Tamandua tetradactyla: one gene and its partners. The protein of the gene in region 1 interacts with the protein of each later gene in a pairwise test. Links are inferred from orthologs where the notes say so. Each region holds a gene or a part of one and is shown in the gene's direction. Other genes may lie near its edges.

Region 1 (10,750 bases):
TCAGACTATGTCATGGGTTACAGTATCACAATTTTAGGGTTTTACTTCTAGCTGCTGTAAGATACTGGAGACTAAAAGAGATATCAATTTAATGATTCAGTGATCATATTCATTTGTTAAATCATGTCTTCTCTGTATAACTCCACTATCACCTTTGATCTTTCTGTCCCTCTCTTTAAAGGTGTTTGGGCCATGGCCATTCTACCTTTTTTATGTTGGAAGGGGGTGTCAATAATATGGGGTAGGGCGATGGAACTAGCTGATGGTCTCGAGAGGCTGGGCCCTCTAGGTTTCAGGACTTATTTGGTCCACCCATCTGGAGGTTGTAGGTTTCTGGGAAGTTACACTAGTACACATGGAAGGGTACACTAGTACCCTTATAGAACCTTATGTAATTTTCTAGGATATTACATAATATCTTACATAATAGCCTTTAGGATTGGCTGGAATGGTCCTGGTTGGGGGTTGGCAGGTTATGATAGGTAGCAAGGTCTAACTGAAGCTTGCGTAAGAGCAACCTCCAGAGTAGCCTCTTGACTCTATTTGAACTCTCTCTGCCACTGAAACCTTATTAGTTACACTTCTTTTCTTCCTTTTGGTTGTGATGGCATTGTTGATCCCACGGTGCCAGGACTAAATCTATTCTGGGAGTTGTCTCCCATGCCTCAAGGGAGATTTTTACCCCTAGATGTCATATCCCATGTAGGGGGGAGGGCAATGATTTCACTTGCAAAGTGAAAATTTAGAGAGAATGAGGCCACATCTGAGCAACAAGAGGTCCTCCAAAAGTAACACTTAGGTATACTTATAGGTAGGCTAAGCTTCTCCACTGCCTATGTAAGCTTCACAAGAGTAAGCCTCAAGATCAAGGGCATGGTCTGTTGATTGGGTGTCCCTAAAGTTTGACATAGTATCTGGGGGTTCCCTGATGTAAAGTTTAATAGTTCCATATTTTTTCTCCCACCCCTCAAGGGACTTTGCCAATACTTTTTGATTATCTGCTTAATGTACTCTAGGATGTAGCTAGGCATTCCATTAAGCTATACAGGATTAAACAATCTCCTTCTTATTTTGGGCTCCCTGTGTTTCAGTTGTTCAAATGAGCTATACACATAGGTTAGATTATGCACTATAGATAATTTTGGTTCCAGACCAAATAAACCTTTCTTCCTTTGGTCTCAAAGAGTATGTGTGATTCTAAAATATAAACAATGTCTTCCTTACCCCTGTGTTCTGAATTACTTTAACCCCAAAAGCAGGTAATCTTTTAAGGCCACTTCAACTTGATGTTTCTTACACTACTTTAGCTGTCAGCAAGCTGCTTCTACCTGCAGGATAGGTTTTGAGAGTGCGAACCAGAGATGAGTTTCCTAGTTCATTGGAGGAAATAAATACTGTACTAGATTTTGGAGAAGAGTAAAGCATATAAATTGGCAAAAAAGGAAGAGTCAAAAATACAGTTGTCATATGTCTGTTCTTATTTGTATGTACCATTGTTCTGTTTTAGAATAAATACCTACAAGGCAAAGATTTGCTGTTTGATTGCAAAAGCAGTAAAGTCTTGTACTTTACATACATTACCATTTTTTAATTCTTAAAGCAATCATATTTTATAAGTATTTTATCCTTAGTTTATAGATGAAGAAACTGCAGTTTAGGGGATAACATGACTCCTTGATCATATAGCCAGGTAGTCAAAGAACTGATCTTCACACCAATTCTGTCTGAATCCAAAGCCTTTCCTCATTCTACCACATAGTCTCCTAGCCCATATGTCCCTCTTTTATGGAGCACAAGTCCCGGGTTAACATGCAAAGAAACCATAAGAACTTTTTGTTGATGATAACAAGGATGATCCAGCTGTAGTCTTTATCCCTCTTTTCCATTTCTTCTCTTTCAGACCTTTCTGCAGAGGGCTGGCCTCATTGCTGATCTCCATGCTTTCTGCCAGGCACACAGCTATGATGTCCTGATTGCCATGACTATCTTTTTCAACATGCACGATGAGCCGGTGCGGCAGTTGGCTATTTTCTGTCCCCATGTGGAGCTCCGAATGGTGGTGAGTCTGTCTCTTCTCCAGTTGAGGGTCCTGCAGAGCTCTGCCTGTAAGGGTTGCTCTGTGCTCTAAGTTCTTCTTCTTAGTTGTTGTATTTACACAGAGGTCCCTTGTCCTATTTTGCGAAGGTCCCCTCCCCTTTTTTCCATCTTCTGTATATGTGAATAGGCTTACTCAGACTGTTACTGAGAAAGGGAGAGTCAAAGAGAATTAGAGACACATTTAGACTAAATGTGTTTTAGAAGGATGCTTACTTAGAAGGAACTTGAAATCTAGTTAGATGCAAATGTTATAAATCTGGGGTTGAAATTCAATTCTTGGTTTAATCATAAATCAATTAATTCCTTTCTTTTTATCCTATTGCCTTAAAAATTGGAAACACACGGGAAACCTTTTCTGTTCCTTACTATGCAGGGATTAATTACTCTATATAGTGAGAACTTTGTGATCTGGGAGCAGGTTTGATTTCTTTCCTGATCTTCAGTTTGGCCACCTTTCCCCACTTCCTCCCCCTTCTTTTAACTACTGAAAAACCCAGAAGAATTTAAAAGTGGACTTAAGGCAGTCTAGGAAACTCTTTGGTTTGCTTGGGTTATATGAGATTGGTGAATCTTGGTGAAGGCAACTGGATAATCCTTTTTACTCTTAAACTGTATGTCTGCAGGCCACGGTGGCTCAGCAGGTAGAGTTCTCACCAGCCATACCAGAGACCCGGGTTCAGTTCCCGGAGCCTGCCCATGTCAAAAAAAGAAAAAAAAAAAATGTATGTCTGTCCTTTTCCTTTTCCACTGCTCTTTTCCTTTGTCTTCCCCCCCCAGGAAGCAAATATAATACATTCAGTGGAAGGTAGTTTAACACCATGGAAAGAAGTATTATTTTTAAAATGCAGGTGGACTTGATTTTCTGTCCTAGGTTTTGCTACTTACTGGCTCTTTGGACCAAGGCAAATCAGTTAACCTCTCTAAGTCTATTTCCTCATATGTAAATGGCATCATGGCACCTACTTCAATGGTCTAATACTGTAATTAAACATAATATATGTAAAGTACATTGCTGGACACACAGTAAGCACCCAGTAAATGGTGGCTATTCCTAATCATAAAAGAAAGGGAGCTTTGGCTACAAGAAGTACCTCTTCCTACCTTCCTGAATCTAGGGCCTTCTGTGTTGCTGTTTGGAAGCTAGGTAGAATATCAGATGACTCCACCATTGCCCAGGCTGTTTCTGTCTTTGGAAATAGGAGTCCCCTTTTCATGGGCTGCTCTTCCATTCCCTCTCTTCATCCTGTGTTAGGGGTAGTATTATATAGTGATGTAGAATTCAGGCTTTAGTGCAAACCTAGTTTCGACTTTCAGCTTTGCTTCATATTCCCATGATATTAGGCAAGGTACCTAACCTCCTTAAGCCTCAGTTTTCAATTTCCCCACCTATAAATGAGGGTAATAGAAATGCCAATATTATAAACTTTTTGTGAGGAATAAATGAGATAATATCTGTAAATGGCCAGACATGGCACTGTGCCAGGTAAAGTCTCAATATTTTATATCTCCCACCCTGACTTTTGTTTATTCATTCCTTCTTTCTGCCTTAGTTCTTCCCCTGACCTCAGGAGAGAGATAATCTCTTCCCAGTTAAGCATAGGGCTCAAGTTTTTAAGTAAGGAATATACTTGGACGCAACACTAGATTAGCTGCTGGGGGACCTGAGTTCTGGTTCAGATTCTGCTGTTACCTACGTGATTTGCTTAAGGTACTTGGTCTCTCTGAGCTTTGGTTTACTCATCAATAAAATGAAATATATGATTGCAAATATTTGTAAAACACAATGGATGTTAGCTGAACTTCCTTGTGTTGCAAGCAATAAAAGTAAACTTTGGATGACTTAATTTAAAAAGTCTTTTCTCCTCTATAAGGAGAAACCTCTAATTTAGAAGCCTCAGTTCTTTGCTACTCCAACTGATACATCATACCTCCATTCTTGTCTCCTCCTCAGATATGCCGAGTCCTGGAACACTCCTACTCTCCCTCCCTAAACCTGACCCCAGCCCCAAGCACCCACCCTAACCTCCAAGCCTATCATCAAGGCAACACCCAGGTCTCTCGGAAGAAACTTCTACCTCTGCTCCAGGAAGCCCTATCAGCATATTTTGACTCCATGAAGATCCCTTCAGGACAGCCTGAGACAGTGGGTGTGTCTAGGGAGCAGCTGGACAAGGAAATGGACAGGGCAAGTAACTCCCTGATCCCTGGAATAAGTCAAGATGAGGAGGACCCTCTGCTGCCCCCCACACCCATGAACAGTTTGGTGGACGAGTGCCCTCTGGATCAGGGACTGCCTAAGCTCTTAGCTGAGGCCATCTTTGAGAAGTGCAGCCAGATCTCACTGTCACAGTCTACCACTGCCTCCCTGTCAAAGAAGTGACTCTTGGGAGGGGAAGGGATAGTGGGAGAGGCTGCTTGACCAATCCCAAATGCATGTTTTGAGATGTTTGGAAATTTCAGCAGTTCTGTCCTCATTGCTCCAGGATCTGGTGTATTGTTCTCATAAACCTGGAAGTAGAAAGAAGTGAAGGAAAGCAGTTGCTTTCAGTGAAGAATGGTTTTCTAGCTTTTCTCCCCAATTGACCAATCATAAAAATGCTATTATTTAATTTTATTCTTTAGATCTACACTGACTTTCCTCTATTTAATTTGCCAGGGTGCAATGCAATACATCTTCAGTCCCAAGAAAGTAGGACAAAAAGAATATGTACTCCAAAAGTGCCCTTGGCAAGGATCTTGAACAGAGCTAATATCTGTCATAGAACCATGGATTCTTTGATTGTCTCCATGTATTCTTTATTCACTTTATTCAAGTATTTATTGAATATCTACTTAAAATTAGATGCATTGTAGAGTGTGCTTTGGAAACTTGCTCCACAGTTCAGCCTTTAGCAGATTTCCATTTCCGTGACTCTTCTTTCTACCCTCTGTTGGTAATACAGCTTGATTCAGAGATGGCTGACTTTCCATTCTGAGTTTATTGTGACTATTGCAGGTCTTGTTTGGGAGCAGATTGGAGGCTTTCTTCTGTCCTGATCGGGTGGCCTGACTGTGAGGTTCTTTGACACCCTCTGTCCCAGAGCCACAGAGGCCCTGAAGAGACCTTGAAGACTCCCTGTTCTTGAGAGTTCAGGAGGCACCCAGGAAGGCCTTTGGGCCTCAAAGGCACTCCTCCAAAAGACAGCAGAACCAGAGTGAGAGCCCTGGTTCCATCCCCTGCCTTGGCAGAATTATCACTTTCTTATCCATCTCTTCCTCTTCCTGCTCATATTAAAAGGAAGCATGAACTAACTAACTGGATTCTAATACTGACTGCCACGAACTGTGTGTAGTTTGGTAAGACACTTCACTTCTCTGGGTCTCAGTTACCCTGTCTGTAAAACTAATGGTTTGAATTAGATGTTCTCTGATATTCTGTGATCTGCCTCTTACCTGCCATCCTTTGTCTCCTCTGCTTCTCTGAATTTTTGTTCTCTTTTCCCTGGGAATGCTCAGGGTCACTCGATTGTCTGTTTATGTGGGATCGTACCGAAGGACTCAATCTAGTGTAGCATGTACAAGGGGATGATTCATACCATAGTTGTCCAGCAAAGAGCTCCCTCCCGCTGACTCTTGGTTCTGCATGTGGAGAGTCTCCCTTTTTTCTTGGGACCGACCCCCACCCCCAACCCACTGCTCTGTTCCATGTAGGCTGCCAACAACTTCACTGAACAGTGAGATATGTGATGGTTTTGATATGACGTCTTCCAGTACGAGGGAGGCAGTCTGCCACTTAGAGGGGACAATGTCTGTAGCTATTTGGAAGGTAAAAATAGTAGTGTGATCGCTGAACCAAAGGAATTTATGTTTTGTAACTTGGGTACTTAATTTTACATTTTGTTAAAGTATTAAATATTCTTTTCCTGTTTGGAGTCTTACTGTCTCTTTTTATAATTATAACTGGGTCTTTCCCTATGATAATTGTTTTAGCCTCCTAAAGATTCATGTCCCTTCTTCCTGTTATACTTACTGTCTTCTTTCTGATGACACTTTTTTGGGAATAAGGAGCAGCACAGGCTTCCAACTTCCCTCATTCTCAGCCTTTCCTTTAGCTTGTTTTTCTACCAGAACTCTCCTTATAACAAACTTCTCTCTTCCCAATTCTGTTTATGCTCAAAAAGTAGGCCCAACATAGTCTTATAACCTAAATGGCTACTACAGTTCCTTTTTAAACAAAGTTGCTTCCAGAAGGTTATAAGGGGTCTGGAAAGAAGAACAAATTAGCTTCCTGGACTCACCCAAGACTAGTCACCCTAGGAAATGCACTCTTCTCCCCAAAACCCGCCCCCACACGGGAGGCAGGGTTTTTCTTTTGGACAAACCTGCTCCTTGGGAGAAGAGGTAGCAAAACCTGTTTGAAGATGAGTTTACTTCCCTTTCACACCTCCCTCCTCCTTGGAGGCAATAGCAACAGCAGCTGAGACAGAAAAAGGGTAAAGAAGTGTTGGGGAGCTGGCCACTCCAGCTCCCCAACAATTCCAAGTGTTTAACAGAAGGAGGCAGGAAGACTTAGAAGATGGGAACTATACAAGAAGCAGAGGAAAACGCACTAGATTTTGGGTGAGTATTGGCTTACTTTTTTGGAAATGGGGAGTGAATAGTCTGAGGGACTTTCCCACTGTCCCACTCTTATAGGTCAGATCTCAGGGTTCCTGGAGTAGATGAAACTGTAACAATTAATTTGCAGAGAACAGCTTAGAGTGGCTTTAAGTAGGAAGTATTCGTGTGGTATGGGAAATGAGAAATGGAATTCCAGAATAATTCCCTGGCCAAAAAAAGAAAGGAAGTTTCAATATTTTATCTGATGAATCTACCCGTGATCTTTGTTTTCCATCCCCCTCCCTCCAGAATGACCATCAGGAAAGCTAACCCAGAAATGAGATGAGGTCCAGGTTCCCCATCCCAGCTCATCTCTCTTCCCCCTACCTCCCCCCACCCTTCCACCTAGGCCATGGTTTCTCTAGCCACTCCCCAGCATGGTGGAGGGAAGGCAGGCCTGACTAGGTGCAACTTTGTCCCTTGACCACTGGGCGGATCTCTCTAGGTTCCAACCCTTTATAATGCGGAACACCTCTGCCCTCTACTTGGCAGGTAGAGCAATTGCCTTAGAAATAAAAATGATTAGCTTCGTAGTGCATTCTTCCACCGTTCCTAAACCCAACAGTACAAGTAATCTTCCAGCAAATGGTGAAGTTGGGAGAAACATTTGTCTAGGAGATAAGAGATCTGAGTTCTTTTTAAGGCCTTTCCTCTGCTCTGTTCCTTAATTCTTCAATACAGTCTTTTCTACCAGTTCCTTAAGACACTGCCTAGATTATCGTCTCATGAAAATCCTCTCTTGGGGGACTATCTTAGGGCCAGGGAGAACACAGAAGCAGCAGAACTAGGAGCAGCCTTGAGACTTGGGGAGCTGGAGTTGAAGGAAGAATGGCAGGATGAAGAATTCCCCCGGTGAGAAAGTGCGAAGGAGGTTGGGAGAAGGGGGGATTGGTCACAAATGGAGGGCAGGGATGGTGAATTAGGACTTGAAGAAAAGAAAGGGAAAAAAGAAAGAGGCAATAAAATCATAGCAGGTAGAGAGAATTGATAAATTGACACCTGGTTGGATGCCTTCAACCCACATCACTGCCCCTTTTAATCACTTCCTCTCTAGATTGCTTCCGGAGGAGGCTGGCCCTTCTGAAGATCCTGAAGACTCCAAAGGAGGCTCACAGGCAGGTAGGTGAAGTAGAGAGTAGGCCTCAAATTCCCAATTCTAGTCTAGCAAAGGGCTGTCCCTTGTCAATTCTACTTCTGCTTTCCCGAGTGTCCTGCGTCCATCCTTCTCCAGAGTTGACCCCATATTATTTCATATATAGGAATTATAATCAGGTCTCCTCCCCGCAACACACATGCATCTTTCTATTTTTTTCTCCCCTCCTTTAACCCCAGGTACTCCCAGCACTTTAGCCTTGTGTGGCCATCGCCCCATGCGTAAGCGTCTTTCTGCCCCAGAGTTGCAGCTGAATCTGACTGAGGGGACAGGAGATAATGAAACTTCTCCCATTCACTCTGCACCTTCCTCTCCTGATGGCAGTTCTGACCTGGAGATAGATGAATTGGAGACGCCTTCAGACTCGGAGCAGTTGGACAGTGGACATGAATTTGAATGGGAAGGTGGGAAACAAACTTGGGGTTTGTTAGTAATAGTAGAAGCCAGTAGTAGTAGTAGTAGAATCCAGTGTTAAAGAAGCCCAGGATGGATTTAATGGGACTGAAAATAGAACTAGCAAGGTGAGGACCATGAGGTAAGGCCACAAAATCAATTTCCTCAGAATGGAAAGGTAGAGCTTACAGATTGAATGTAAGAATAGTTAGTAGAAGATGGAATCCTCTATTTTTGGAGGAAAGCTTTATTGAACGATGTTTCATGCTATCACTGAGCTAGGACTGGGGTTATAAGATGAATAAGATAGTCCCTACCCTCAGGAAATGGGTGCAATTAAGGGTTATGATGTACATGTATATAAGTTACATCGCAGGCATAGAGAAGGAAAAGGTCGGGTCTGCGGAGAGGTGATTCTGAGATGATTTTTTTTTGCATGGCAGGCACCGGGAATTGAACCCGGGTCTCCAGCATGGCAAGCAAGAACTCTGATACTGAGCCACTGTGGCCCACTCCTGCTTTAGATGAATTTTTTTTGATTTTTAAATTAATTTTAAAAATTTTTTAAAAATATGACAAGAAAGAAACACAAACATTTCTAACATATGATTATTCCGTTCTACATATATAATCAGTAATTCACAATATCATCACATAGTTGCATATTCATCATCATGATCATTTCTTGGAACATTTACATCTATTCAGAAAAAGAAATAAAATGAAAACAGAAAAAAAATTTATACATACCATACCCCTTACCCCTCCCTTTCATTGATCACTAGCATTTCACACTCAATTTATTTTAACATTTGTTCCCCCTATTATTTATTTTTATTCCATATGTTTTTCTCGTCTGTTGATAAGGTAGATAAAAGGAGCATCAGACACAAGGTTTTCATTATTGAGATGAATTTTTGAAAGCTAAAGTTGATGTCCATTAGGTAGTTGGAGAGAGTGCATTCTAGGTAGAAGAAGCAACTTGAGTATAGCATGGCTATTCAGCTGTGGAGATGAAGAAACAATGACAAAAGAAAATGCTGGGAATAGTAGGTAAGGGTCAATTCACGGAGGCCCTTACTGTCATGCCAAGATTTTGCCTAGAAGCAATGGGGAATCGTAAAGGGAGTAACATGATCAAATTTGATGGCTCTGAAAAAATTGGAAACAACCTGAAGTTCCATCAGTACAGTATTAACTCTGTAATTGTACACCTATACAATTTACTACTATGCAACTATTTTTTTTAATGAGGAAGCTCTTTCAATTGCTATTGAAAGATTGGGCAGAATGGTGGATATATAGTAGGGGAGAAAAGACAGCCTGCTCTGGCAGTGGTGTAGGGAGTGGAGTGAAGGAGCTCAAGACTGGAAGCATGGACACCAGTTAGGAAGCTAGTATGAAGTCTTGGTGAGAACACTAATAACATGAACCAGGACCATAGTAGTGGAGAAGATGATGAAAGAAAAGTATGGAGGCAGGTGGAAAAGGATGTAGGGTCCAGTTAGTTTTAGGGCTGACAGAGAAGAGTCTCAGATGACACACAATTTTCTCTTTCAGGTAGCTAGATGAATGATGGGATAATTCATGTAGACAGGAACCATGGGGGAGGGGGAGAAGAGAATGTGTCTGAATTCCACTTTGGGCCTGGTGAATTGGAGATGACAGTGACAATGTCCACTCTAGGCATTTAGGGATATGGGTCTGGAGTTAGGAAAGAAGTCTGGGTTAGAGGGCAGATTTTGGAATCTTTACCTTACTAGTGGTAATTAAAGACATGGGAATGGATTAGCTCATCTAGGGAAAAGCATGTAAAGAAAGAGAGTCTAGAAGAAACTGTACTAGCAATGGCCATAGACCTGCCATAGTGCAAGATCATCCCAGAGCCATAATTTAATGAGAAGGCAGGGGTAATGAATGAGATACAGTGGGGAGGAACCAGGAAGGGATTGAGTTGATTGGACAAATTAGGCATGAAGAGTCAAGGAAAAAGTTGAAGAATAAAAGGTTGGAGTAGTAAACTCTAAGAATCTGGGAAATATTAAAAATATGTAAGGTAGGAATTCTGCCTTGTTGATCTTTCCCCATCCTTCTCTTTTAGATGAGCTGCCCCGAACAGAGAGCATGGGGGCCAGTGAGGCAGCTGAAAGCCTGGGCCGGGGATGTATGTGGGATGTGGCTGGAGAAGATGGTCGCCGTTGGAGGGTATTCCGAACAGGACAGCAGGAGCAGCGAGTGGACATGACTGTCATTGAACCCTATAAGAAAGTCCTATCTCATGGAGGTATTGGCTGGCATAAGTAGAGGGGTAAGAACTGTGGATTCTTGGAAAAAAATGCAAAACTGAGAACTCAGTTATTGGGTTCAAAATCCTTCCTATAATTTCCAGAGACCTCAAGACTCCCTCAACCTGTATAAATGCACTTGGCTCTTTGTTGATAATGAATTTTCCCTGTATGCACCTCAGGT
Region 2 (9,567 bases), on another chromosome or scaffold:
CCTAATGGGGAAGTTGAATTTCCCCCCTTTCTTGCCATTCCCCCAAGGGGACTTTGCAAATACTGTTCAAATCACTCTGGGTTCGAGTCCAATCTTGTAGGGCCAGATCTGTTGTTTAGGGTGGGAAACTTTGAATTATTATTATTATTTCCATGGAGATGTAGCACACCCAATTGTGGGTATGGCCTTTTGATTAGCTGGAGATGTGGCTTCACCCATTCAAGGTGAGTCTTGATTATTCATTTATTAGGGTCCATTAAAAGAGGAAACATTTTGGAGAAACCTCAAATACAGACACTTATGAGAACAGTTACTTCAGAGCCAACAGAGCTAACAGGAGACCCAGACATTTGAAGATGCTTGGAGTGCCGACAGAGAGAGCAGATGCCTAGACATGGACATATGAAGATGCAGAGCCCAGCAGACGTCGCCATATGTCTTCCCATGGGATGCTAACAAGCCAGAACCCAGAGTTGTGTCCTGGAGGAGCTAAGTGGGGGCCCACAGACACTTAGGAAACTACTGGCACCAGAAGCTGGAAGCAATGGAACTAGGAACAAGGACCAGCAAATGCTGGCCACATGCCTTCCCAGATCACCCTTCCTTGAGTCAAGGTTATCTTTTTCTGGATGCCTTAGTTAGGACATTTTTATGGCCTTAGACATACTGTAATCTTATAACTAAAACAAATTCCCATTTAAAAAGCCATTCTGGCAGCTTTAGCAAACCAATACAAGACCTCCTGAAGGTAGATGGGCAGGTGGCCAGGAGGCACCCTTTCTCTCCTGGGTGGGCCCTGATGCCGCCCTTCCTACCTGGCCCTTACCTGTGTCTAGGGGTTGCCCAGCTCCCAGAGGGCTGTCACTGAGTCTCTCTTATTTGTTCACATTCAGTGCCACCTGGTCCTTGCGACTGCCCCGGAGGCCCCCACGTGGGGGAGCTGGGCTGACCCAGCACTCTCCAAGGCTGCAGCAGCTGGAGGAGGTGGAGGAGGATTGGGGAGGCTCATGGCCCACCCCCAGCCCTGGCTCCACTCTGAGGGTAGCAGGATCTCGAGGGGTACCCAGGCACCAGCCCAGGGCCCGGGCCGGCTTTTTGCCCGCCCAGCCCTGGGTTTGGGAAGGCTTTGTGGACAATGGGGTGGGTGCCTGAGTGCAGGTGGCTGGGGAGCCTGTTTCTGGAAGGCGAGTTGGGATTTTTATTCTGTGAGAGTGGCATGCCAGACCCTCTTCACCACTCTTCCGATGTGGTGACCAGAGTCCCTGAGCCCCTAGAAGCGGCTGCCCTTGTGCCCCAAAAGACAGTCCTTGCCTCCTTCCGTGCTTCTGGAGGTGACTGTTCTTGTCCCCAGCAGGGAATAGGCAGCCAGTGATGCAAAGCCTGCCTGAGGGCCTGCCGCTGGGTGTTCTGCACCCAGCCAGCGTCTCCGGACACCATGGGAAGGTCTCTCCCTGCCCCCCCACCCAGCAGCCTTCACCCACGGGCAGCACCCAGGAAGTAAGTCCTCTGGACCATCCAGGAGGAACACCGGGGCTGCAAAATGACAGAAACCCAAACACACAGGGGGTTGAGCAGAGAGGGGGTTGAGCAGAGAAGGGCTTGCTCTTCTCATCTAACCAGAAGCCAGCACAGCCGGCCCAGCTATAGTGGCATCCGGACACACCTGGCCCCTTCGAGGTCCCCAACCCCATCCTGTCCAGCTCACAGGTGCCCCGGGGCCACTACATCTCCAGGGAAGGGGCAGGGTGGCGCCTCCATCAGCAAAGCAGATGCTGCCCCATGAACCCTCCATTTATGTCAGTGGCCACAGCCTGTCCCATGGCTACAACTGCTAGCCAGGGACTCTGGTGGTGTATCTGTCCTGTCACTTACCACCTAACAGTTCATTATGAGCCCCCCTATGGATGCCGGGTGTCTGTCTGTCTGTCTTTTCTCTTGCCCCCATAACAAGTGACCACAAATTTAGCAACTTAAAACAACACACATTTATCATCTCCGTTTGCGGAGGTCAGAAGTTTCAGGTCTCAGATGGGCCAGGTAGGTGCAGAGCGTCCCGGGGAAGGAAGGAATCTGCTCCCCAGTTTTCTTCAGGCTCTTGGCAGAATTCAGTTCCTTGCAATTGCAAGACTGAGTTCCCCGGCCACCCCACCCCCCCATCTTCAAAGCCAGTGGCTGTATACAGCAAGTTCTTCTATGGCTTTGAGTCTCTCTGTCTCTGGATGGGGAAAAGTCTCTGCTTTTAAAGACGTGTGGGATTTTAGATTGGGGTCCCTCCAGATATTCCAGGATTAATCTCGTTGTTTCAAGGTCCATCACCTTAATCACATCTGCAAAGTCCCTTTTGCCTTGTAACATGTGCACAGGTTTTGGGGACCAGTGTCTAGACTCCTTTAGGGGTCATTCTGTGTACCCCTGAGGTCACAGGCCAGGAGGCTAGCATACAGTCGTGGTACCCCAGCCACCCTGGAGCCTTCTGCCTAGACCTGAACCATTAACCACAAACAGAAATATCATCAATGATGCTGTGGGAAAGGCCCTGAAGGACGTGACTGAGCCAGGGGCTCTGGGTGCTTCCCTAGGGAAGTGGCAGCTACATTGAGGTCTGGAGGACTAGCCAGTCAGAAGAGGAAAAATGTGGCAAAGATCATCCAGGGTGATCGATCATCAGCTCGAGCCAGAAGCCAGGAGTAGGTCACTGAAGGGGGGTGTGCCCAGATTCAGAGAGCAGGGAAGGGAGGCTCAGGCCTGGGGGGCGGGAGGAGGCTGGCAGGGAAGCAGGGTATGGCAACAGTGCTACCACTGCCTGGCCGTTCACACCTCACAACACCCCTGTTTTTTGCAAGGTGGACACAACTGTCACCCCTTAATTACAGATAGGGAAACCAAGGCTCAGAGAGGTTAGTCAAATGTCTGAGCTTGTAAGAGCTGGGCCTGGGAATCGTAGCAGCTGCTGAGATGCCCTTCTAGAAAGACGGTGCTGACTGACCTGTGGATACAGGTCGAAGGAGGGTACATAACAAGACTCCCCTATGCTACAAAAGCAACCTGAAAACCCTGGGGGCTTGCCTGTGTGGGCATCGCAGCCTGCAGACTCCAACTTGCCACCCACTTTGGCAAAGCAGCTACTCGGTCTAGAAACTTCCACTAGCTAGCAGGTGGCAGAGGTGCGGGAGTGGGAAGAACTGATGGTTGGTTAAGAGGACAGGGACATTTCACTGGCAGACGATCAGGTTTAGGAGGGAAAGTCGTCGTGCATTAGGGCTGGGACACATGGAGCTGGCTGCTGAGCCTGGTGGACTGCCCTGGTCTGGAGACAAAACCGAGAGGGCCATGGGTGCCTCCGGGGAAACGGGCTGGGGGCACAGCTAAGACTGCACGACTGGGAGAGCAAAGAGACCTGGCTGAGGGCTCAGCCTAGAGGGACCCAACAGCTCCAATTCAGGCCACATGCATAAAAATGATCTGGGTCAGATTGGACCTGGGACCTCCCACCTGGAGGCTGGGCTGGTGCTGCGACACGCCCATCTGCGCCTGCCATCGTAACCGGAAGGCACCTGCCAGAGCCCAAGGACCATTCTTCCTGGAGCTCTCAGAAGGCCGGGTCATACGCAACGTGCCCCTCCAAGACTTGAGAGAGAGGCCAGTCCCACCCAGGGCAGTGTCCACTCGGGGGCCTTCCCTGAGTGTGCAGGCGCCGCCCTGGGTGCTGCCTCGCCCTCCTGCTGTGTCATAGCTAGCTTTCCTTCATTCATTCTCTGCCTCACTTCCAGGCCGGGCACTGCTGGGTGGGGAGACAAGGCTTCCCAACTGAAGACTTTTCAGTGATGACTCAGGGACCGGGGCTGGGGGCGGGGGAAGAGCCGCGGGGGAGCCCACGCGATCCGGGCGCTGGGCCGTCCCCAGCGCTTCCTGCCCCCCCCCCGAGGACATCCCGGTACCCTCACACCACCGGGAAGGTCAGGGCTGCGGCCCTAGAGGGCCACTCCCCACCTCACGCTCGCACGACCGGAGCACCTGGGATCGGGACGCGGAGCCCGGCGCGCGTAGCGGGCTGAGCGCGGGCCTCGACCCTGCGGCCGTGCGCACCGGAAGGGCAGGGGGCCACCACCAGTCTCCAGGACACGCGCCCTACGGCACGGGGGGGGGCGGTGTGACGTCACGGGGCGGAGCTTCGGCCTCCGTGGGCCTCGCGACAGACGGGGCCGTCACGGGGTGAGGGGCGGAATCGCAGCTGGGCTTCGCGGTGGGCTGGACACCCGCTGGCGGTGACGTCACGGGGCGGTGCGTTGCCGCGGCCTCGCTGAGCGAGCGGGTCAGCCATTGGGCCTCGCAGGACGCGGGACCGCCCTCGGCCGTGACGTCACGGGGCGGAGCCTATCCGGAGGCGGCGCAGGACGGTGGTCACGTAGTTCAGGTTCCCGGGCAGCAGCCGCAGCGCGTGTGGCCTCAGTGAGTCTGTCAGTTCGTCCGTCCGCCCGCCTACCCGCTCGCCATCATGCCCATGTTCGTCGTGAACACCAACGTGCCCCGCGGCTCCGTCCCGGATGGGCTCCTCTCCGAGCTCACCCAGCAGTTGGCGCAGGCCACGGGCAAGCCGGCCCAGGTCGGCGGGGATGGGGTGCGGTGGGGTGCGGGGCGGGGCGTGAGGCTCGGGGGCTGGGGGGTTGCGGTGCGCTCTGGGCGGCGAGGGGGGAGCGGTGCACTCCGGGCCGGCGACGGGGGCGGGGGTGTCCTCGCGCGAGGGCTGACGCCCCTCCCCGCCCCGCAGTACATCGCTGTGCACGTGGTACCGGACCAGCTCATGGCCTTCGGCGGGTCCAGCGAGCCGTGTGCGCTTTGCAGCTTGCACAGCATCGGCAAGATCGGCGGCGAGCAGAACCGCGCCTACAGCAAGCTGCTCTGCAGACTCCTGGCCGAGCGCCTGCACCTCAGCCCCGGCAGGTGCGGAGCGCCCGGGGCTGGGGGGCTGGGGAGGTGAGGGGGTGGGGGGAGCGCGGCCCGCGACGCCTGGGTGGTTGGGTCCCGCCGGGGTCCCCCGGCTGAGCCTGCCCCGCCCCGCGCCCGCGTTCTTCCTGCAGGATCTACATCAACTACTACGACATGAGCGCGGCCAACGTGGGCTGGAACGGCTCCACCTTCGCCTGAGCGCCGGGCCGCCTCCCACCGTGGCCCCCAGCCCCCCACCCCTACCCCCGGTGGGGAGAAATAAACGGTTCAGAGACCACGGCGGCCTCGGGCGTCCTTGGCTTGGGGAGGGATCGCCGCGGGGGGACCCCCTTGGGACGCGGAATGTGGCGCCGAGGCCGGGGCGGGATGGAGTTCCCCCCAGGAGGCCGCGGGGCCGGGTCGGAGCCTGGGCCGGCCAGCCCGAGCCCTCTGCGTCCCCGGAGGCCGTTACCTCCTTGGCGTCCGGCCCTGGGTCACAGCCTTGGGACTGAGGGCGGGAACCGCCAGGGTCACCACGTAGGGTGCCGTGGGTGGGGCGGGGCCGGCCTGGGAGTGGGGGAAGGGGGAAGTGCCAATCTGATTAGCCTGGAGGTGAGGATCTGGGGGTGGGCTACACTCCCCCATCCCACCCCACCCCCGTCTTCCGGCTGGGGAGGGAAAGCCCCCTTGGTCACACTCATTGGTTGGCCTGGCATCTCGGATTCTTGATGGGGAATGTCCCTTTGTTCCTGCCGGGAGGTTGGGGGCGGTCCCCAGGTGTGTTGGTGGGTGGAAATGTGCAGGATGCAGAGTTCCTTGGTTATGCCCAGTCGCCCACCCCTGCCGGTCCCCCAGGCCCCCACCACCTCATGTGGCAAGGCCCTCTCCCCACTTACCCAGGGCAAGGAAGTTCCTGGTTCCTCAAGCCAGATCAGATGCAGGGGTTGGGGAGGGGAAGGGGATACTTTGAACAAACACCACCACCTGGACAAGCGATGGGGGCGGGGTACCTCTACAGCAGGCCATGTTGCTCCCCTCTCCCAGCACCACAAGAAATTGGCCAGCCCTGGGGCCACTAAAGTGATGTGTTAACCCCCACACACACTTCCTGCACCACCGAGCCAGCTGGGAAAAGTCTTTTAAGGCAGCTTGAACTGGGGTGGTGTGCAGCCTGGTCTCTGGACAACCCCCCACCCCAGCTATGCATAGTCCGTTGAGACCCCTAGCTTTTGTCCAGTCCCTGTCCAAGTGAGCACATCCTAGATGGAAGGCAAATTTGAAAACTTCCATGGGCATTTACATGAATCTACTTTTGGAAACAGGCCCTGGGGAAAGCATGGTGGCCGGGCAGATCCTTAGTCTAGAGCCTGTTATTTCTGTTAAGAGTGGAGGTGAGGAGAGCCTGGGGTGGGCACTTGTGCCTTCCCTCCAGCATAGCCCCCCATCATCCTTGCTTCCGGGCTCCATTGGGCAGGGACCTGGGGACGGCCCCTGCACAAGTTAGTTGTCAAGCCAAGGACATGTTGGCTTCCCTGGACCCAAACCTTGCCTCTCTCTTCCGTGGCAGCTGAGGGGGGCCTGCTGTGCTCACCTCAGCCGCTTGGCCACTCGAGTGGTCCCGTGGGGGGCTGCCCGCCCTGGCCAGCTTGCGAATCCGTCTCCCCCCCCCCCCCCAGGTTCACAGGGAGCCCCGTCCTTAGGGGCTACCCCCGTCCTTAGGGGCTACCCCCCTCCGGCCGCCCACTTGCCCAGCCACACCCATTCACCTTGGGCAGCCACAATTCCCTTCTAGGAAAGCAGTGGACAGCGGGAAGAAGTGACTACCCTGCCCTGCAAATGTCCCCGCTGCAACGTGTTCCCAGGGCCCACGCGGTTTTCAGGGGCTTTGGGGAGAGGGACCCTGGCTCGGCCACACGGTTGTCCCCTCTGCTCCTGGGGGGAGCCTCCCGTGCTGAGATGGCCCCTCCCCCAGTCCCAACACAATCTCTTTTCCCTCTGGGCCCCATGCCCTCTTCTATGTGACAAAAGAGCAGGGGCCTCAAGTCCAACTCCCTCATTTCACAGATGAAAAAACTGATGCCCAGGTTCCCTGCTGTGCTGTCCCACCCCCCCAACCCCAGCGGCCCCAGTCAGGGCTACTCTGCTTTTAAGTCAGGGTGCAATACATATGGGGCGGGGGCGGGGATCTGCAGCTGCTGGGTGTCCCCAAGGCAGTGGCTTCCTCCCAAGTCCCCAAGGGCCACCAAGCAACCCTGGTCACCCCCTGCCAGCCCCACTCTGCTTCCTCCAGACAGAGCCTGGGTTCCAACCTCCCCCCTCCCACCCCACATCGACTGCTGGCCTCCCCACCCCTGCCCCCTGGCTGGCAGGGTGGAGGTCAGCCTTCCAAACCCATCTCTGAATGACCCCACCCCCACCCCATGCAAGCCACGTGCCTCTCCCTGTTCCCCAAGTAACAGCGTGTCTCCTGGGGCCCGCCCCCCAGCAGAACAGGGGGCAGCTCTTGTGCATGGGACCCTTGTCACCCACCTGGCCAAGCTGGGGCCCCCAGGCAGTGATCCAAGCCCAGGCCCACGCCCGTCTTCCTGGAAAACCACCCCGAAGCCACTCTTTGTGGGGTGACACACCCACAGGTCCCTGCCCTGTCGGCCCATGCTCTGAGCTGGCGTTTCTCTCCCTGGGTCTCCCCAGCGGCCTGTGGACGTGGGCTGGGGGCTCAGGAGTTGACTGGCAAGCTGGCCTCCCTGGCACCCATTGCCTCACCCACCCCAAGGCACCCACCCCCAGCCTCCCCCAGGACCCCTGCTTCTCCGACTTCCCACAGTGGCCGCCCCCGTTCCCTCTGAGACCCGGAACCCAGCCAGCTTTTCTCAGGTGCTCAGAGCAAGTCCCTGCCATGTTCCCTCTGTGGGCCTCAGTATCCCCCATCTGTGAAATGAAGGGATTCACCAGACGTCCTTCCTACTCCAATACATTGAGTCCAGAACCAAGGCATCTCACATCCTCGGGTGACACCCGAAGGAGGGGACAGAGAGGGCGGGTGTTCCCGTGTCCCCTTTCCCCATCTCCATAATGGGGAGGAAGTCTTTGGCAGGGCTCTGGTTCCCCTGGCTTGGGCCAACCTTGGTGGTTTGGCTAGGGTTTGGCTCTGGGACCGCTCAGGTTGCATGGCCCACAGGGGGTGGTAGGAAGGGGCCCTTGAGGGGAGCGGACCGTGGGGTCTGCAGGGGGACCCCCCACTACTGCCTGGCTCTGGAGTAGAATATCAAAGTCAATCTGGGAGCTGTCAGCTGAGCCCGGGAGCTTAGCTAGTCCCCAGGGCTTTTGGGCAGCTGCCTGTGTCTTCCTGGACTCTGTACCCTAAAGGGGAGCTAAGAGTTGATCCCATAAAACCATGCTTCTCCCCATCAGCAGACCTCACCCGTCTTGTCCCCACTTCCGGCTGAGCAGTGCCCCCCCCCAGGTGGCAGCCCCCCAAACCCTAAGTGGGGATCCAGGCCAGGAAAGCAGTGGCCCAGGTGCAAGATGGGGCCACATGCAAACTCCCCAGAAAGTTGAGCTCCGGCACCCCCAAAGCAGTGGCTTTCAGGTGTTCAGGGCAGACAGAACACACCTCGCTTCCGAGTTTGAAGCCCACGTCAAAAACGAACAAAGATTGCCAGCTTTTGGACATTGGCTGTCCCTCCCACTCCTGGAAGTCTCAGCCCCAACTGGAGACACTCATGTCTAGCCCCCCTAAGAGAGAGGACCCCCCTGCCCCGTGACAGGGATCCAAACCCAAAAGCTGCAAATGAGGAGTCTCCTTCCCCCGGCCCCCCAGTGACCTGGTTTTCTACATACCTAATATTATCCATTTCTCTTGGAAAAAAATTTGATGGGCTTATCCATTTTGAATAGGTCCTATATTTACAAGACTCCAATTTCAAAGGTGTCCCAAGAAGTGTCCCTCACACCACCCTTCCAAAAAGCAAACCCCAAATTTGTCTTTGAATCCTTAGCAATTATGTGTATTCCCTGTCCCCCTGCTTTTTTTTTTTTTTTTTTTTTCATGACCGGTAGCTTCTTCCATTAGAATTCTGCACCTCGGTTTTTCTTTACTTAAAAATCTCTATCTAAAGAGCCTTCAGACAGGCCAGGATCTCTTTAACCAGCCCCCTCCCCCCCCCCGCCCCCAATCTATGTACATTTAGGTTGTTTCCAGCCTTCAGCTCTTCGCTCTGTTATATTGAGTTTCTCATGTGTGTAAATGAATCTGTAGGGTGAGCTCCCAGGAGTGGTATTGCTTGGTCAAAAGTGATGCCACTTTGCATGGTCTCAGCAGGGCTCAGAGGCTGCCCCAGCCCAAGTTTGACTTTCGCCTGTCTGGTTGGATAAAAATATCTATCAAGCCAGAAGGGTTTAATTTGAGGGGGAGCTTCTTTTTGTCTGGGGCATGGCCATTTCATTTTCCTTTTGTAATAAAATCCTCAAGCCTACTTTTCCAGTGGAGTGTTTTGTTGTTTTTTAAGAGCTTTTTCCATGTGAGAGAAAATAGCCCTTTGCCCTGAGTTGTGTTTTCCCCAGTCTGTCATTTGGCTTCTGACTTTGTGGGTGTGCCATTGAGACACTTATCACAAATTGCTCTTCAGGATTCATGCTTTT
Region 3 (10,750 bases), on another chromosome or scaffold:
CCTGGTGCCCTGGGTCCTGCCCCAACGCCCTCTGCGTGATGGTGCAGCAGCGGCTCTGGATGGCACTATGTGTGGGCCGGGCCGGTACAGCCGGGGGAGGGCTCGTGGTCAGGGGCACCTCTGGGGAGCCGTGGGCCTCATCCACCCTGCCCTCCCCGCTGTGGAGCCCCGGCCAGTCCACGAGCATACCCAGGCCATCGGGCCGTAGCAGCACCGCGGGGAGAAGACCCACTCGGCCGCTGGACCTGCGGGGGGTGGGGGGAAGGGCGGAGCCTGGTCAGATTTCAGTCCCGTGCCTGGCTCGGTGTGGCCCAGCCCCAAGCCCCACCCCTGCACACCTGCACAGCCACCAGCCACGGTCTGACGTTTCCAGCACATGCACGCGCACCCCGGCGGGCACTGACAACTCGTCCACACGGCCACCTTCATAGGCGCGGGAGACGCAGAAATGCAGCCCTGTGGGTGGGGCCTTGGGGGTCACCGTGGGGCTGGCGCCAGGACTGCGCTGAAGCCCTGGGGTTCTCCCTCACTACTGGTGCCAAGAGGACACTCCAGGGCCCTGATGCACCCAGCTCATTTTCTTCCCCCCTCCCCTCCTGGTGTGCCCTCCTGCCCACCCTTTCTGCACACTGCCCACGGGGGAATGGCGGTCTCATACCACTGGCTCCCGGGGGCAGGGGTGCCTCTTGTCCCTGGCCTGGGAGCACCTCCTCCAGATAGGGAGCTGGAAACCAGGCCGTCTACTTGTCGTCGTTCTCCACCAGCCACCAGCCTGTGCGCAGAACAGGGTGTGCCCAGATTCCCAGACCGCTGGGGGCCTGAGGGCAAAAGGCGACTCCCCTGGACCCCTGCCCTGCACCTGAGGGGTGTCGCAGCAGCACGTCCACGGCCTCCTGGGCCCGCGTGTGGAAGGGCCGGCCCCCTGTGTCCTGGGCGTGGAAGGGCTGCAGACAGCACAGCCTCTGGGCCTCCACGCTCCGAATGGCGAGGTTGCCCGTGGGGCGGGCTGGGGGCTCCTTGGGGGCAGGCAGGATCACCAGGCTGGGAAGGCAGCCAGCGCGGGTGAGCGGTGGGGACCAGCCCGCACCCCCCAAGTCCGCCCCACCTCCTGATTTTTGCTCGGTGCTGACTGGTCCTCCGAAGGCTGCTGGGGGTGGGGGCGGCTCATATACCTGCCCGGGAGCAGCATGGGCTCCAGGTCCAGGGGTTGCGGCGAGAAGAAGCCAAGGAGCGCCGGGCTCCGGGCCACACGCTCCTGCGAGGCCAGCAGGCTCCGGGAATAGGCCTCCAGGAGACACAGGCGCTCCAGGCCGCGGCCCGTGCGCCCCCCGCGCACCACCAGTGGCGCATCTGCAGGACGGCAGGACAGACCGTGGGCCCCACCCCCAACTCCCCCCGCTGCTGCCCGCCCCCTCCAGTTACCCGGCCTGACCGCGAAGCTTGGGCAGAACGCGGTCAGATCTCCGTAGCAGGCCCGCCTCCACCGGGAAGGTCTCCTTAAGGGTCTTCTGGAGGGTCGAGAAGCGAGGTGGGGGGGCTCGGTCTGGGAGACCACGGGGGCGCAAAGGGAGGCCGCTTGGGCAGCCGGCCCGCCCTGTCGGGGTCACCCCAGGTCACTCACGTGGAATCTTCTAAACTCGTCCAGGCTTCTGCGCACGAAACTGTCGCTGCCATCCGACCAGCGCACGGAGAAGGCAAATGTCTGCGAAGGGAAAAGTTGGGGCGCTTCCCGGGGCTGGGCTGGGGACGTCTGCCCTCCTGGTTAGGGCTGGTGGGGACCCCATCGGGTACCTGGAGGCGCCCGGTTTGCACCAGGGCCGCGGCGCACACGGACACTGGATGGCGAGGGCCGGCCAGTGCTGCGGCTTCCTCGGCGGCCAGCGTCCTGCCACCTCCCTACCAGTGGGGTCACCTGAACACTGACCCGGAATTCCCCACCGATCCCCAAGCTGGCGAGCAGGCCCCTCCCTAGCCAGGAGCCCCTGGGTCCTTTGCACAGTTCTTGCTGCCCCACCCCACCCCGAGAGCTGGGGCACAGCAGAGCTGGAGGCGGGAGAGGAGAAGCTGCCCTGCCCTGAAGGTGTGTGACACTGTCCCCAGGAAGGGCGGGGCCTGAGGCCCTGGAGGGGGAGAAGAAGGGCTGGTGGCCCCTCAAAGAGCCAGGGCCAGCTCTGCCCTGCCCCTCCCGCCCTGCACTCCCTGGGGAGCCTCCAGTCCCGGGCCCCTCCGCTCTCCTTGAATTCACTTGCGGGTGCACTAGGGCCTAAAGTGCCTGATGGGCTTTCAATCCTCACACTGACTCCTACGAGAATGTATTAAATGGATTATTAATGTAAGTTTTTGCTGTGCTCCTGAAGTGAGGGAGGAGTGGACCCTACAGGCTCACCCCAGAAGTTCCCTTGAGCTGAGACTTGTGGCAGAAGGAAGAGAGCACATCTCTGCCATCACTGACACTTGGGGGATGAGGGTGGTGCCAGCCTGGGCTGCTGTGGACGCTGCCCCTGCATTTGTGATGTACCACAATTTACTGCAGGCCTCAGGGGGCAGGAGGGATCCATTCCCTACCAGCTGCCACCATGGGGGGAGGCCATGGAATCTCTTGGCTGAGGCCCGTCTGCGTGCCCCAGCTCTCAGGGGCCCTTTCCTTACAGGGAAAATTTCTGGAACTTGGTGGTTCTTCCTGGTGCTGGGTGTCGGGACTCCCCCACCCCAGGCACTTCTGGGAGGGGCCAGCCTCTGGGGCCTACTTCCAGAACTGCCCTGGCCTCCTCAAAGGGCCTTTGTGTGTCTCTCGGAGCAGCAGCTCTCTGAAGCCCTCACACCTGCCCTGTCTTGGTCCAGGTGGCAAACAGGCCTGACCTGCAGTCAACCCTCAGTCCAACTGTCATTGGGAAGGCCATGATGAGGCCCAGGATAGATCCACTCCGCCCCCAGCTCCCCCGGAAGAGAGAGGAGAGAAGCCAGGGGGTGGGGAGCTGGTCACCTAGAGGGATGCTGAGGCCTGCCCCACCCCAAGTACAGCCCCCTGCCCCACACCCCAGCAGCCATGTACCCTGTCCACTTTATTTCCTCCCGCACAGCAACAGCCTCTACTCCCGAGTATCTCACTGCCAACCTTGCCCCATACAGTTTTTCATTTGGCCTCCGAAAACAAAAATCAGATCCTGTCAGGGTGGATCTGCTCAAATCCGTCCGGTACTTTCCGAATGCCCTCAGGATCCATGCCCAGTTCCACGTGGCCACCTTGCTCCCACGTGGTCGACCCTGCCGGGTCCTGGACCTCCCCTCCCTTCACCCTCCCCTTTCGGCCCTGTGTGACTCTGCGCCTCTACCTAAGGGTCACCTCCCATAGGGAGGCCTCCCGGATTTACCCCAGCCCCCTCATGGCCCTCACCGCTGTCTGTAAATGAACACATTTGTGACCCCTCGTGTATTTTCTGTCTTGTTCTCTGGACTAGGAGGAGAAGTCAGAGACGGGGCCTTGTTCCCGCTGAGCCCCGAGCCTACACAGATAGTTGTGGACTGAGTGGAGGAGCGGGTGGCAGCTGAGGTACCTCCGAGGGCTCCTGGAGGCCTTTAACCCTTCTCGGGGCCGCAGGATCCCACCCAACACACGCCGCGCCTCTCGCGCGGGCGCCGCCCCGCGTTGCCAGGCGCCCGTTGCCATGGCGCTGGTCTCTAGGCGGAGCCGCGGACCCAGGGGCTCTGCGAGCGCACCTCCGGTTGTGCGGTCACGGCACCGCCCTGCGCTGCCAGGCGTCCGTTGCCATGGCGCCGGGCTGCCGGCCACAGGGCGCGCCCGCCGGGTGAGAGCGCAGAACCTGGCTGCGGGCACACCGGACAGTAGGAGCGGAGCGATGGGGGCGTCGCGGGCCGCCACGCGGACTTCTTCTGGGCCTCAGCCAGAGTCTACGACGCGGCAGCGCCGCGGCTTCCACAACACGCTGCTCTTCTACTGGAGAAAGCGGGAGCCGCGCCATGGGCGACGCAAGGCGGGCTCGGCCCGGAAATCGAAGCCCCGGGGCGCGAGCAGGGGCCGAACCGCCGGCACCACCGCAGCTCGGGCGGTCGCCGCAGCCTCCGCCTCCGCCAGCGCGAGGGCCCGTCCCACCGCCCCGCCTCCGAGACCGGCCCCGGCTCCTAGCTCCGCCTCCACCCCGGGCCCCAGCTCCGCCTCCACCCCAGGGCGCAGCTCCGCCTCCAACCCGGGGCGCAGCTCCGCCTCCACTCAGGACCCCGCCCCCGACCCCGCCCCCAACGAGGACCCAGCCTCCGCGCCTGCGCCTGCGCCCCCGCCCCCGCCTGCACCCCAGCCCCCGGCTGCGCCCGCGACCCCGCCCGCGTCCCCGCCCGCGCCCGCGCCCGCGCCGCGCGCTCCCGGCTCCTGTGGCCGCGCCCTGGCGGCGGCGCGCGCGCTTGCCTGGAGACCGAAGTGGAGGCCTATTTGGAGGCCGACCTGGCCCGGCAACCACTGCGCGGGCAAGATGGCGGCGCCCGACGAGCGCGGGCGCTTCGGCCGCGGAAGCCTATTTTCTTTCTTACCCGGCGGTGCTCGCTCTGAGGTGCTGGACGATCTAGCGACCGATGCGCGAGGCCGGGGTGCGGGACGGAGAGAGGGCGCCTCCTCGGCCCCACCGCCAGTTGCGGCGCCAGCCTCCGAGTCTCAGGTCGCTGAGGACCTCGCCCGGAGGCGGGCCTGCCGGGCCTGCGTGGACTTCAAGACGTGGATGCGGACACAGCAGAAGGTGCAGATGCCCCGGGACGCCACTTGCCTTGCGAGGACCGCGAGGCCTGCGCAACCTCCCATCCCCGCCGCCCGCACGCTCTCCTCGGCCTCTGCTCCGGGCTCGCCTGCTTCAGGCCCCAGCCGCCCTCCTCAGCCCCGCGCACCTTCTCAGGTGCCCGGGGCAGGCTTCCCAAAGGCCCAGGATGAGCGGCCCCACAAGTCTCTTGCTTGACAGTCTTCTGTCGCCTAGAGTTGGCTACTCCTAAGCCTTGCCACCCAACATAGGCCCTGCCTCTTTCAGCTGTACGTGGGCCAGATGGGCTGCAGGGCTCCTACCCTGAGAATGGGGCCTCCAGCTGGGGCCGGAAAAGGGGTAGCTATGTGGGGTTCTGGTTGGGGGGAGATTGAACTGACCCTTGGTTGGCTTCCTTCAGCAGCGGGGGACCAAGTTTAGAGAGGATTGTCCCCAGGACCGCGAGGAACTGGGCCGCCACAGCTGGGCTGTCCTCCACACCCTGGCTGCCTACTACCCGGACCTTCCCACCCCAGAACAGCAGCAAGACATGGCCCAGTTCATACATTTATTTACCAAGTTTTATCCATGTGATGAGTGTGCTGAAGACATAAGGAAGAGGTGAGTTATGGCCGCACTACGTGTGGGTGACACAGTATTGTAAGGGGGAGCTTGGGTCTGAGGCCCCTAGCTGATGTCACAGAAGAGGTGCCTAGAAATGTCTGGAGAGTGACAAAGGTGCCACTGAGCTGGGACCATGAGCAGAGCAGGGAATGGGTCATCTGGGCCCCCCTCAAAGACCAAGCTGCCTGGGTCTGTGGCTGGGCCCTGCTTGCTGTGGCTACAGAGCCTTCCCAAGGGCTGGCCCTGCTTAGCACTGAAGGAGACTGGTCAGAGTAAGGAGGGGTCCACTTGCCTCAACATCTGGAGCAGGATGGCTGCTTTCAAGACTTTAGAGACCCACTGTTTTTGCTCCCAAGACGCATCTTTTCCTCGTTGAGGAAACCAAGAGCCATTATCAGGTGGACACAGGTGTTTCTGCCCTTCCCAGGGCCGACATATGGGGCAGGGCAGCCCTTACTGTTGGAAGTCTGGGCAGGAGAACAAGGCTCTCCCTGCGCTGAGGCTCTAGGGCCTCGGGTGCCAAGAAACCAGTCTGGTTTGCAGTTATGCCAGCATGCTGGTCCCACCTCTTCCACACTGCCTGGGGCCAGAGATTTCCTGTTAAAGGTTGTAAAGTTGCTGGGAGTGCCTGCAACTCTTTAATATTTGCCCGGGCTCCTTGACAATGTTTGCCTGCTCCCTGGGTGGTTTTTTGGCCAGCCTTGGGAGTCCCTGAAGGACCAGGACACTGCAGGGTCAACCCTGTTCTGGGATTACCCCGTCCCTTAGAGGACATTCCAGGTGTAGTTCTCAGCAGCTCCCCTGTCTTAGGAGCTGTCAAGGGGGCTGGCTAGGGGCAGAGACAGTGGGGCCACCGGCCTCCCCATACCATGCTCCATGTGCTTTGCCCCTCTCCCCCGCAGGATATACAGGAACCAGCCGGACACAAGCACGCGGGCGTGCTTCACGCAGTGGCTGTGCCGCCTGCACAACGAGGTGAACCGCAAGCTGGGCAAGCCTGACTTCGACTGCTCGCAGGTGGATGAGCGCTGGCGTGATGGCTGGAAGGATGGCTCCTGCGACTAGAGGGCAGCCGGTGGGCATGGGGATGGGCGCTCATTAAAGTGCGTCGGAGCCTGAGTATGTCCTGTGTGAATCAGGTCGTCCCCAGGATGCTGCCCGTGGGCCTTTCCCCCCTCAGGTGTGGAGTAGAAGTAGAGATGCCCACAGCAGACACCCCAATGGCCTCCTCAGCCAAGGCCATGTTGCCTCACAGCCCTCTGGGGCTACACTGCAGGTGAATGGGACGGGAAGGGCCAAGGCCACCACTCGCCATTGAGGACATGGCCTTCTGCCACCTCCACCCCCGGCACCCAGCTCCCCACAGGAAAGGAAGGGGCTGTAGCCGGATGATGGCCCTTCCCCAAGACCTCAGTTACTGTGAAGCTGTGAGAGCTGCAGCGCCTATGGCCACAGCAACTGTGCTTGCACCTCAGGAATGAGACCTGGGCTTGAGTCTCCTGCTCTGCTCAGCCCTATGGGGGTGGGGTTGTCTGAGGATCTGGTGTCCTCACAGCGCAGGTGGCACCTGTCCATCACACAGGTCCCCCGAGCAGTACTGGGACTGCCAGCAGGGGCTCACGTCCTCAGTTTGAAACCAAAATAAAATGCTGGAGAGGTGCCTGTGAACCTGAATTGTGTGTTCTCTGCTGGACTTGCGAGGAGTTGGGGGGGCCTGACTGCTTTTCGGCTGGGGACAGCAAGGAGGCCCGAGTGGCTGGAGCAGCCTGTGGTAAGGTCAGAGGGGAGGGGAGGCCTATGGCGGAGGATATGGCTTTGATTCCCAGTGTGAGGCGCAGCCCCTGTGGGCTTGGGGTGAAGGAATGGCAGGATCTGACCTTTGAAAGTCCCCTGTGGCCACTGCGCTGGGCCAAGGTCAGTGAGGAAGCTACAGCCACCTTTCAGCAGAGAGGGAGGCTCCCTCTGGGGGCAAGCAAAGGTTGGATGATAAATATATTTGAGATTTTCAGAGTCATGAGAATTTGGGGCCTGAAAAAGGAGCCCATAAAGTCTCTGTAAGGAGGTTTGGGGGTGAACGGGGCCCAGAGGTGCAACCCCCAGCCACCTGGATCTGCTCAGCCCTCTTGACTCCCAGCCAGAAAGGCCAATGACTGCATTCCCTGCCCCTGTGTTCTTAAGAGCTCCACCTCCTCCCCAGTGTGTCTCTGGTAGAGATGCCAACCTTTGGTGTGACCTCACCTGGCCTGGGAGCTGCAGGCCTCCACCTGACTGACAGATCAGAGCGCCCCGTGGCCCCAAGCAGAGGGGACACGAGACTTCCCGTTGGCTTCCAGAGCTGTAGACAGCTCCAACCCACTGCTTGTAATTGCTTTCCCTCCCAGCCTGCCTCACTTCCTTTCCCCCTAACTTCAACTTCCCCAAGGTTTTACCCCCCAATAAAAGCACACAAACTTTGCATCAGGTTCTATTTCCAAGGCTTCCAGGCTGAGACAGGCTTAGGGTTCTGGATAGATCTGATATTGGAGAGCCCAAGCAGGGGGAACAGGAGGAGGGGTCTCAGAGGCCGAGGACCCACAGCTCAAAGGGAACTGTGATGGGACAGCTGGGGAGAGGGTTTATTTTTCAAGATAGAAGCAGGTATACCTTATTTGGGTGCCGATGCCAAAATGATCAAGTAAAAGATGGCGAATGGGAAAGATGGGATTTGGTCAGTGTAACAACCTAGAAGATTGGTGGATGTGCTGGGCAGCACCCCTGGCCTCATGACACCCAGCTAGGCCCCTGCGGAGGTGAGCAAGCAGAGCCTGTGGGTCCCCGGGGGTGGGGTGCTGTCCTTCCCAGAGGCCTCTTGCACACACATACACACCCCGCTCCTACAAGCTACAGCCCCCCTCAGGTCCCAAAGGGGGAGGGCGCTGTGCACTCAAGTGCTGAAGCCACCCCACTCCCGAGCCAGACCTTCCCACTTCCACCCCCACCCACCCTGCATCTTTGGTTTCCCCTTCCCCCCACCATGGGCTCCTCCCTGGGCCTCGGCCCCCCACTCTCCTCCCCACCCCAACTGCAGCTCTACAGCCTCCTCACACCCAAAGCCAGCCCCTTTTGCCGGCTCCCTTCTGCACAGGACAGGCCCTGCTGTCAGAGGCCCTGGGTTCCAATCCCGGCCTGGGGGTGCTGTGTGCTCACACGGATGGGAAAGGGGTAAGAGGCCTGGCCTCCACCAGGAATCACAGGCTTGGTCCTGGAAATGTTGAGTGGGTGAAGTCACTTCTCATGACCTAAGACAGAAACCCACTAGTGGCTCGGGACCCTGACAGGTGTGCTGGAAGGGACCCCTCACCTGTGGCGCGCGGGGCAGTGTGGAAGGGATTCGGCAGGGACAGGGGACAACGAGGCACCTACTCGACTGAGCTCCCCACCTTTGATGCTTCTCCCCAAACCTCCGCGAAATCAGCGGGACCCACAAATGGGGAGGGGTCAGGGAGACCTGAAAGGATCAGGGGTGCCCCAATGCCCTCCCCCCAGATGTGGGCTCTGCCATGCTCCCCTCCCAGCTTCCCTATCAGCGGGGTCAGGGCCATCTGCTGGGGGGTTCAGCCCCTGCCCTGCCCCGCTGGGGCCCGGGACGCCCCCTCCAAGAGGCAGTGGGTGCGGGGGTGCCCCGAGGATGGGCAGGCCATGGTCAAGCAGGTGATGGGGGGCCTGAGGGCGGGGCGGAGAGGGGAGGAGGACTCTGGCCCCGCGCGTGGATTAGGTGGGGGGAGGCGCAGGCTCGGCCCCGCCCCGCGCGCCCCCGCCGCGGACAGCGCGCGCTCTCGGGAGGCGGCGGCGGCCGCAGCTGTAGCAGCATCGCGGGCAGCCGCGGGCGGTCTCGGACCCGGCCGGCCGGCCGGACGGACGAGAGGACAGAGGGCGGCAGGGGCGCGCGGCCCGGCCCCGCGGGCCATGGAGGGGGCGTCGTTCGGCGCGGGCCGCGCGGGGGTCGCCTTGGACCCCGTGAGCTTCGCGCGGCGGCCCCAGACCCTGCTGCGGGTCGTGTCCTGGGTGAGTGGCCCCCGCCGCGCCCCCGACCCCCGCCCCGACCCTCCTCCTCCCCCGGTCCCTCCCCGGCACGGCCGCAGGTTGGGGTGACGTCACCGGGCTGGGCGCGCCCACCTGCGGGCGGGGGAGGGGCGGGCGGCCTCTGCCCGGGTCCTTGAGAGGTCACCGCCGGCCGCCCCCTCCCCGCGACGCTCCCTTAGGTCGACCTTCCCCAGCTTCCTCAGCCCTCGCTCCGTTTGCGGGTTCTCACGACCTGGAAGCCGGCGCCGGGATGGGGGTGGGACTCGCCAAGGGACTTGGGGGTTCAGCCCCAGCACGGGGTGGGGGGTCTACGGGAACCGAGAGGTTTCAGACAGAGCCCCATACCTACCCCCTACACCTTCCAGGTTCCTGCGGAGGGAGCTGGCCCCTCTCAGGGCCCCCAGGTGCAGCTGTGAGTTGGGGTGGGGCTCTGGGGCTTCTTCTGGGTGGGGCAGCCAGCAGGGGCTCTGCACTGGGAGGACTTCCTGGAGGCGGCGTGGGAAGGGCACGTTTGTAGGCAGTCTAGCTCACTGGGCATCCCTAGCCAGGTGGCTCGCCCCTTCTTACCCTTACAGGCAGGGAAGATGTGAGGCGGGTGCCATTCCACCTCAAGCCCTGTGGTCAAGCAGGGCGGTCCCTAGGGGGCAGGAGGCCGCAGGTCACCCCTGAGTGACTCTGACCATACTGAGAAGCCGAAGCGCTGCTGGACCACTCTGTGGGGACGTGGCCACGCCCTGCACCTCAGTTTCCCCCTGGACTAAACGGAGAGCTTGGTCTCTCCGAGGTGGAGCAGGAACAAGGCGAGGTGAAGTTGGAACTAGAGCTCTTTTCTTGGAAACACGGGGCTACCCAGAGCTAAACGAGAAGGTCTGCTTTACAGTGACCTGGGCTGCCAGCCTGCCTGCCTATCGCCGTGGGCGCAGGATGCTGAGGGCTGACTGAACCCGAGGTCACATGTTATTACGGTGATCTCAACAGTAACCGCAGTCATGGCACCCCTCCCGCGCCCCTCCGGGGCGGGACCCCAGGGGGACATTAAGTCTCTGTGCTCACACTCCTTGAGCTGTGTGCCTCTTCCTCCCGTTTGGCTCGCTACAAACGGGCCACGCACCTCCTCAGTGCCGAGGGCCGCTCCGCGCAGGGGCTGGACGCAGCTCTGGGCAGCTGACCCTCCTTAACCTGCCAACGCTGTGACCTCCCGCGGGTCCCGCCCCGCGGCTCCGGACGAGGTGCCTGCTCCCACACCCTCGGCTGGGCTCTGGGGCCACACCGCCGGCCCCACGCGGGGTGACTGGGCTTGACTCTTAGCCTCGGTCCCTGTCCTC

What was found.
Region 2: the proteins of BNIPL (region 1) and MIF interact in a two-hybrid assay, tested with the Homo sapiens proteins (2 studies listed by BioGRID and IntAct). The link is inferred for Tamandua tetradactyla from reciprocal best matches to the Homo sapiens genes BNIPL and MIF.
Region 3: the proteins of BNIPL (region 1) and GFER interact in a two-hybrid assay, tested with the Homo sapiens proteins (2 studies listed by BioGRID and IntAct). The link is inferred for Tamandua tetradactyla from reciprocal best matches to the Homo sapiens genes BNIPL and GFER.

What each region holds. Positions count from the first base shown.
Region 1 is NC_135330.1:4,498,507-4,509,256, reverse strand, and holds the start of BNIPL (bcl-2/adenovirus E1B 19 kDa-interacting protein 2-like protein), read left to right. Parts: upstream 1-6,126; 5' UTR 6,127-6,652; coding exon 6,653-6,696; intron 6,697-7,491; coding exon 7,492-7,587; intron 7,588-7,789; coding exon 7,790-7,854; intron 7,855-8,067; coding exon 8,068-8,292; intron 8,293-10,382; coding exon 10,383-10,565; intron 10,566-10,748; coding exon 10,749-10,750. Other genes in the region: exopolyphosphatase PRUNE1, read left to right, coding at 1,901-2,059, 4,049-4,477. UniProt on the Homo sapiens protein: May be a bridge molecule between BCL2 and ARHGAP1/CDC42 in promoting cell death.
Region 2 is NC_135331.1:25,741,382-25,750,948, reverse strand, and holds MIF (macrophage migration inhibitory factor), read left to right. Parts: upstream 1-4,358; 5' UTR 4,359-4,495; coding exon 4,496-4,603; intron 4,604-4,768; coding exon 4,769-4,941; intron 4,942-5,078; coding exon 5,079-5,145; 3' UTR 5,146-5,224; downstream 5,225-9,567.
Region 3 is NC_135349.1:55,539,441-55,550,190, reverse strand, and holds GFER (FAD-linked sulfhydryl oxidase ALR), read left to right. Parts: upstream 1-4,408; 5' UTR 4,409-4,484; coding exon 4,485-4,745; intron 4,746-5,160; coding exon 5,161-5,360; intron 5,361-6,265; coding exon 6,266-6,428; 3' UTR 6,429-6,482; downstream 6,483-10,750. Other genes in the region: SYNGR3 (synaptogyrin-3), read left to right, coding at 9,309-9,407.